Linked DNA regions of Sus scrofa. The protein of the gene in region 2 purifies or fractionates together with the protein of the main gene of each other region. This does not show direct contact. Links are inferred from orthologs where the notes say so. Each region holds a gene or a part of one and is shown on either strand. Other genes may lie near its edges.

Region 1 (3,743 bases), on a different chromosome or scaffold from region 2:
ATCCTACCGTAGATCGGGGTTCAAGGTCTCCCAGAGTGAAGTGGAAAAGGGAAGAGGATCACTCCATTCTTCAGAGAAGGTTTAACGACAGAGCACAGCCTAGAAATGACGTGAAGGTCAGGACGGCACCCAGGCAGCAGATTCAGCTTGGAAAAAGGCTGGGAAGGTTAACTTCCTCACCTCCTCGGCTCTGCCCTGAGCTGTTTGTTTTACACGCATACCTTGCACCCAGGCACCAGTGGAGTTTTAGGAGGCTCAGGCAAGAATGCTGAGCCCATACTTACAACCTGCCTCCAGACCTCAGTTTACCCATTTCGAAAAGTGGAACTGATGATTTCCCAGGCTCCCACACCAGCCTAGGGCATCTAACCCAGGCCAGGTGGCGCTCTACGGGAGGGGCATGACCGTGTTGGTGACGTCACGTGGGGCGGAGCCTGAGGGACCCGCTGCGGACGCCCGGGAAGGGTGTAGGGACTCAGCCCCAAGCTGGCGCGTGGGGGTGGGGGCTCGCGGGATCAGGCGCTAGGGAGAGTCCCCCCACCTCCGTGTCCTCGGATTGTTGGATGATCCCGCCATCATCCGCCGACGAAACTGAGTCACGGCGGGGAGTGCGTGGGGAGGGGGTCGTGGGCCTTATTCGCAGCGGGACCAGGAGTCCCATTCCCACTCAGGTCCTGCACCGCACCTCCCCTCCCCCCGCCCCCCCCCACACCCTGCGGCTGTGAGTCAGCGGCCAGCCGCGCCCCCTCGGCCCACTTCCTCCTCACCTTCCCTGGGCGGGCGCGGTGGGGGGGGCGGCAACGAAGGAGGTGGGGCCCCTCCTCACCCATCCCCCTCCTCGGAGGGGGGGGTGCACCCCTTAGTAGAGCTTCATAAACGGGCGGAGGAGAGAGACGTTGGGGGAGGTCCGAAGGTAGGATTTAAGGGAGAAAATTTGAATCTATGCTTAACCAGAGGGTCCTTCTCGCCCCCCACACTGAGTAGAATGTAAAGAAATGGAGAAGTCGATGGGGAGGGTGAGAAGAGATTGTGCCCCCACTGAGAGTCCCCAGAGAATTTCTATCATGAGAGAGAACTAAGGATGAAGGAAGGATCCCTTCCCCCCCAACAAGCTTGCCCCCCTAATTTGGGGGTGACTCCCCAGAGTGCATCGCTGTGCAATAACGTTGGGGAAGAGGGAAATAGCGGAAGTCTAAGGTTCCGCGTTGCCCTTTTAAGCACCCTCCACCCTCCAATCCCACAGCCTGGAGGTGTCCGCGGCCCCTTTAAGGCGCAGGGCATTGTGGGTGCGGGGAGTGGAATTTTGGAACGAAATGTAGCGAAGAGAAGTACAGTAGTAAGAGTAACATTGTAGCCGCCGCCAGCTGAGGGGGCGCGCCGGGGAGGGGACGCCGCACCCCCTTTCTGCCGCAAGGACCCCGGATCAGCTCCCCAAAGGGAGGAGGCGCCTGAGGATCCGCGCCGGCCCTGTCCACGTTCCCCCCAGGAAGCCGGACTCTATGGGGCGGGACCCTGGGGGAGACTGAGCAGAACCTGGAGCCAGCCCCGAACCCCTGAACCTCGAGCCAGGGGCGCCCCGGGAGCACCTACCCCGTGGGCGCTCCGCCCGCCAGCCGAGCAGCCATGAGGTGAGCCTCGAACTGCCTCTAGACCCTTCCCTGCCCGGCGCGGGATCCCGCCCCGCCTTTGTCCCCCTCCCCCCAGCTTGCTCCGGGCTGGAATTTAGGGACAGGGCACTGGGAGCCTCGAATTTGAGGCCGATCCCCCTTGGACGGGCTCCAAATATTGATCACTTTCCCTTGATTCCCAAGGCTCCGGGTGGTGCCGGTGAGGTTCTCCCGGGAGCCCTCAGATTTGGGGGCGCTCCGAGGACTCCCGAATTTTTAAAAGACTTTTTCGGAGGACTTCTAAGTTGTTAGGTACTCCCGGCCGGGAGGCTGGGATTTAGGCAGGGCTCAGACTCCCCCCAAATCTTAGCCGGCCCCAGGAGAGATTATGGGGGGGCCAGTTTGGAGGTCCCTGGGACCTGGAAGAGAGATTGAAACGAAGATCTTGGCTTTCGGGGTCCCTCTTTACATGGTGCCGGGAAACGTCTTCCCAAGAGGACTTTGCCCCTTAACTTCGAGGGCTCTTAACCCCCTAAATTTAGGGGTTCTCGTCCTCCTGTGGAGGAGGCTGGTGCGGACAGATCCACCGACCCAGATGCAGCCTCGAGGATCTGGTTCGGACTCCCCGCCGCTTCCCACTCACAATTTGCTTAAAACGGGCTGTGCCTAGGGCCGAGGGCGGCACCCCGGCCCCGTGCCAGAGGGGCAGCCCCTTTTCCCACCTGCGCGGGCCCTTGGGAGGGAGGGGGCGCGGCAGCTGGGGGAAGGGGGGCCTTTGTCTTCCTGACTCACCTGTCGAGACAGCTGGTGTGGGGGGCGGGCAAGGAGCGCCGTGGGCCGGCTGCTTTCCCCACCACAGCGCCTCCCCCTTCTCTCCACATCGCCCCCCCTTCCCCAGCGGTCCGGAGTTGTGCGGTTGTTGGAGGGGGCGTTGGGAAGCTTCAAGGTCATAGCCCTCTTCCCCTGGGAGCCGGGCTTCCCAAAGAGTTCTAGCTATCTTCCCAGGAATTTAATCCTGGGGACCGGGGGCCCAAGGCACCCAGGGATTTTGTCTTTCCTGGGCTTCGTTCAAAACTCCTGGGCTCACCTGAGGGCGGGGCCGGTGTTGGCTGGGGGACCCGACTAGGCCCCCCTATTCTCCCCTCCCCCTGGCCCCCCATAATCTCTCCCTTGAGCCTGACAATACTACCTCCCTTCCTCTACTCTCGCAGGGACTTCCTGCCCCAGAGCCCCCAGGTTGAGGGGGAGGCCCCGAGGACGGCTGGGGATTAACCCCCTGCTGCCCACATCCTCCCACTTCCCCCACATTCCCCGTACCCCTGCCCTCTCACATCAGGGTGGCATTGCTTTTTACGGCCATCAGAGAACCCCCATTCCCACGTTTGTTCCTTCTGCGGTAAAGGGATTGTTGGAAAATTTGGAGCAAGGGAGCACCCGCAGACCCGCACGAGACTTCCTGCCTAGCCTGCCCCTGCTCACAGCAACATCCCTTCAAGGTACGCCCCGAGGGGGCAGGTTTCGGGAGCCAGGCTCCGTTCCTTCACCTTCCTCCCCGGGGGACTCTCCTCTCCCCCAGCCCCCCAGCCCCGCCCCTTGCCTCCCCCCCCCCCCCGCCGCGTTTCCGGTCCCAGGCACCGTGGAAGGCGGATGGCGGATGTCCGAGTTAGTGCTGCCTCACTCACTGAGACCGTAAAAGGGCAGGAGCAATGTCTGGGCCTCCCGCCCCCCTCCCCCAGTCCCGGAGGCCCTCGCCCTCCCGCAAGGCCCCCGACTGCTGGCCTCGGCCAAACCTCCCACCTCCTGGGGGGTGGGCAGAAGTCGAGCCGAGGCCTGTCCCACCAGAGGGTTACTCCCACCTCGAGAGGGGTCTTCCCTGCCTGTGACCACACCCGACTTCCTGGGCCGGGCCCCTTCTCCCCCTGCCAGGATTCCAAAGGACCCATGCCCCTGTATGGGGGTGGGGGGCAGCTGGGGAAACTGAGGCTCAAAGAGAGAAAGACCTGGCCCAAGATCGCTCAGAAATTCCTAAGCACTACTGAGGAAGGGGAGGGGGCTGGGCTCCTCTGACTTCTGGCTGGTTTGGCTGGGGACAGTCTTGGGGGCAGTTGGAAGGGAGGATGTTGAGATGGAAAATTA
Region 2 (3,743 bases):
CCAGCTGGAAACCCCTCCCATGTCCACCATGGCAGCTCCAGACAGGGCTGGCCACCGCCACCCGCCCTCCCCCACTTACGTGTGAGCCCAAGTTCTCCAGAGATTCCGCGCTTAGGACCCCACTCTCCAACCAGTCAGCCTCCCAGAGGCCAGTTAGCACCTGGCTCACCTGCCCAGCACAGCCCCTGGCAACACCTGAGCTTCCTGGCCGCACACACGCCTCTCCCCGCCCCGCACCTGAGACGCTCTCAACTGCAGTCGCCCTCCCTGCCTGCCCTTCCTGCACCCCTCTTCCAAGGACTGGGGCCGGCCACCTCTGTTGGCATCATGCCCCTTTCCTGGGAGCTGCCCCTAGGTGACAGCTCCCCACCTGCCCCAGTGACCAGAGCATCCTCTCCCCCAGGGTTCTGCTGCCCGCAAGAGGCAGCTGCGACCAGCACCCTCCTCCTCGCACGGGGCGCTTAGCCCACGGCCTCGGCTCTGCGGCCCGCGCGCGCTCCCCCGTCTCTTCCCCCCTGGGGTCCGGGAGATGGGCCTCCAGCGCCCCCCCCCCGCCCCCAGCTCCGCCGCGCGCCCCGCGAGCTCACCGAGCGGCAGCAGCGAGTGGCACAGCAGCGTGGCGGCCGTGCGGCGCAGGTGGTAGGGCACGAAGGCGGCGTCCTCGCTGCCCAGCCAGCCCGACAGCAGGTTCTGCACCGTGAGCCCGGCCGAGTGGAACTCGGTGGGGGTGAACACGAAGCATACGGCGAACACCAGGTAGGCCAGCGTGAAGGTGACCTCGGGGCTGTCCATCGCGCCGCCGTAGCCGCCGGGAAGCCGTCCGGGCGAGGCCCCCCGCCCCGGGGCGCAAAACAGGCCTCAGCGTCCGCGTCCGGTAGGCGCCGGGGCCGCGCGGGGCGCCCTGGGACGTGTAGTCCCCACCCTCAGGCCGCTCGCGGGGCGCTCTGGGAAATGAAGTTCCAGGACCCCGCTCGCGGCCAGACGTCCTGAGCCGCCGCGGCAGTCCTCGCGAGGGTTTGGAGCCTCCCCACGACCCGCCCTGAGGGCGGCGCTGAACTTGGCTCCATTCCACAGCTGGGAATACAGACTCGGGCGAGCAGCTCTCAGGCCCTGGGCCTTTCCGCGCAGCCCAGGCGCGTCTGCGCAGAGCCCGAGATTCCTGGGCGACGGCGGGCCCCGCACTCACCGCCCGCTCTCGAGCCGCGTTTCACCTTCGTCTGCTGGACGAGCCTGGGCTACCGAGAATTCCAGGGGCCGCCCTGCCTAGCGTGCCGCCTCGCCCGGAAGCGGAAGCCGCCTCTTGGGCGCAGCCTCCCATTGGCCTTCGACGCCCTGTGTCCCGCCCCGGCCACGCGCTGATTGGCCGTACGCGCCAACCGTCGATATTTGAATCGGCGGCGGGCAGCCGGGCTCCCGGACACGGCGCCTCCCGCTCCTTCGGTTCCGCGCAGCGGCCGGCAGGTAAGACGGCGACCGGGTCCGGGCTCGGGGCTCCGTTCCTGCCTCTTCTGGCCTGTCCTCGGGCCTTAGCCTGTCGCAGTGGCGGCCTGGACACGGATCTCTGACTCCTCCCGCGGCGCCGCGGTGCCCACAGTCGGCTCTCCTCGCCCCCCCCACCTCGGGGCGCCCCCTTCCCCGGGGTCCCATCTCGCCCGCACTCATCCAGCCGGCCCGGCCGCAGCTGGCAGCGGAGCCGGTGGGCTCTCGGCCCTGCCTCCCGAGGACGCCTAGTGGCCCCTATATCGCCCTCCACGAGGACCCTCCGGCCGGTCGCACCGGTCTTCCCTCTCCCCGGTGACCTCGCCCAGCCCCCGGCCCCCTGTGGCGGTGACCCGCACTGGCACTCCGCCCCTGACCAGCCTCCGCCTTGCTGCCCGGCCCCTCCTCCCGGCGCAGCCCCACCTGTGAGTCATCACCGACCCCGCGGCACCTGCAGCAGAAACCTGGGCTCCAGCGCTGATTCTCAAGAGCCTGCCGGCAGGCCCTCGACGCCAGTCCTCCTCCGCGCTGGCCTCGCCCCTTCTGCTCAGGAGCCGCCTCCCTGGCCCCCCGTCATTAGTAGGAGCCAAACCCGTAGAGGCTGCCATTGTCGCACCCCCACCTTCCCCAGGTGAAGGGATCCCACAGAAAGGGTGCTCTAAGTCTCCCTCCTGTGGCCCAGGGCCCTCCGGCCCCTCCCCGTTTCACCCCGTCCCCCAGGCCAAACCCAGTAGTCCCCCTTGACTTAGGCTTCCCTTTCCCACCTCCCCACGCCGCGTGTGGGCCTGCTGGCCAAGCCAGGGCTGACCGCTCCCCCCTGGCCACAGACAAGAGCCTCTGGCTCCCTGCTTCCCTCCTCCCGCTCCCTGCTCCACACGCAGCACCCAACCCCACACCCTCCAGGCGGCTCATCCCCCTGACCTCACCTCGTTCCAGGGCACCCGTGTTCCTTAGGCCCCAGCCGTTTTGCTCTTGCAGCTGAGGTCCCCGGGGCCCCCACCCCCAGCAGGTACCTGTGCTGCCCAGTTTTCTGGTGACTCCTAAGTTGGGAATGCCGGGTAGGTGACCATGATGAATTTGGGAAGGAGGAGTAGGACTATTCTAGAACCTCGTGGACCCGACCGGAGGCCCCTGGTGTGTTTCTAGTCTCCAGACCCTGGTGTAGAAGCACCTCAACTCCCCACAGGTGATCCTGCACGTGCCGCTTGTTACCATCCCTGCTCCTCCTCTGAGCCTTGGCCCTCCTGGCGCCCCCGTCGGTGGGCAGAGAGCCAGCTGCCCTGCCCTTCTGCTTTTCTGCCCTCCTCCATCTCGGCTGCCTGCTCCAGCCCCAGTGCCAAGGCCTCTGCCAGTTTTGTCACAGATCAGCCCTTATCTGTCTCCCAACTTTTACCCACAAAGTTCCAGTTATTTCGAGGACCTGTTCTTCCTTCTTGCCCTGTGGGCTGAGAGCCCTCCTAGCTCTTTCTCCCGGGAGGGGCAGCTCCCCCCAGAACGGGATAAGGACACGCTCTGGCAGAGGACATGCTGCCTGCGGTGTCTCACACACACACACACACGCCCGTGCAGGAAGGGGACGTCCACCCTGCGGCACCGTGGGGTCAGCTCGCTTGTCTTCACATATGTGCGTCTAGACAACAGGGTGTCCCCGCCCTCCTCTTGACTCACAACTCTCTGCTTTCCCAGAATGAGTCTGCACGTCTTCAGTGATGAAAATGTCACTGGTGACAGAAGTACAGAAAATTGCGACTTCCTGTTTTCACCACTGGAACTTACCGGAAGATCATCTGTCCTCCGGCTGTCCCAGAAAGAAAATGTGCCGCCCAAGAGCACAGCCAAAGCCACGAAGGTGAGCCCCGCAGATCTCCTGGGGGTCACACGTGCAGTCCCGGGGCCTGCTTTCCCGGGGCCTTAGCCAGCTGGCCGGGCGGGGCCCGGTGGCTTCTAGTGTGGTGGGGGAAGGTGTGAGTTATTGGACGAGTGCCTTCCTGTCTCCCCGACAGGTGACTTTTCAGACACCTCTGCGGGATCCACAGACTCACCGGATCTTAAGTCCCAGCATGGGCAGCAAGCTGGACGCTTCTTCAGCTCTAGGGGACACCGTTGGACTAGAAAGCTCTCATCAAGGCCGGGCCCGGAAAGAGAGGTAAGTGTTGGCGCTGTTTGGCAACCCGCAATCGGTAACCTCTCCGGCGGACTCCGCAGGAAAACGTCCGAGCTGGTTCCTCCTGGTCTCTGCTCCAAGTTTGTGTGGGAGTTGGAAG

What was found. Proteins that work in one complex are often made in the same cells at the same time.
Region 1: the proteins of TACC3 (region 2) and VASP purify together in Homo sapiens (co-immunoprecipitation; 3 studies listed by BioGRID and IntAct, with this or other methods). This does not show direct contact. The link is inferred for Sus scrofa from reciprocal best matches to the Homo sapiens genes TACC3 and VASP.

Annotation. Positions count from the first base shown.
Region 1 is NC_010448.4:51,872,376-51,876,118, forward strand, and holds the start of VASP (vasodilator-stimulated phosphoprotein), read left to right. Parts: upstream 1-1,299; 5' UTR 1,300-1,623; coding exon of another isoform or gene 1,624-1,628; intron 1,629-2,399; exon of another isoform or gene 2,400-2,702; intron 2,703-3,009; exon of another isoform or gene 3,010-3,103; intron 3,104-3,743. UniProt on the Homo sapiens protein: Ena/VASP proteins are actin-associated proteins involved in a range of processes dependent on cytoskeleton remodeling and cell polarity such as axon guidance, lamellipodial and filopodial dynamics, platelet activation and cell migration.
Region 2 is NC_010450.4:824,391-828,133, forward strand, and holds the start of TACC3 (transforming acidic coiled-coil-containing protein 3), read left to right. Parts: upstream 1-1,042; 5' UTR 1,043-1,461; exon of another isoform or gene 1,462-1,843; intron 1,844-2,415; exon of another isoform or gene 2,416-2,665; intron 2,666-3,165; 5' UTR 3,166-3,166; coding exon 3,167-3,328; intron 3,329-3,482; coding exon 3,483-3,625; intron 3,626-3,743. Other genes in the region: TMEM129 (E3 ubiquitin-protein ligase TM129), read right to left, coding at 588-792. UniProt on the Homo sapiens protein: Plays a role in the microtubule-dependent coupling of the nucleus and the centrosome. Involved in the processes that regulate centrosome-mediated interkinetic nuclear migration (INM) of neural progenitors.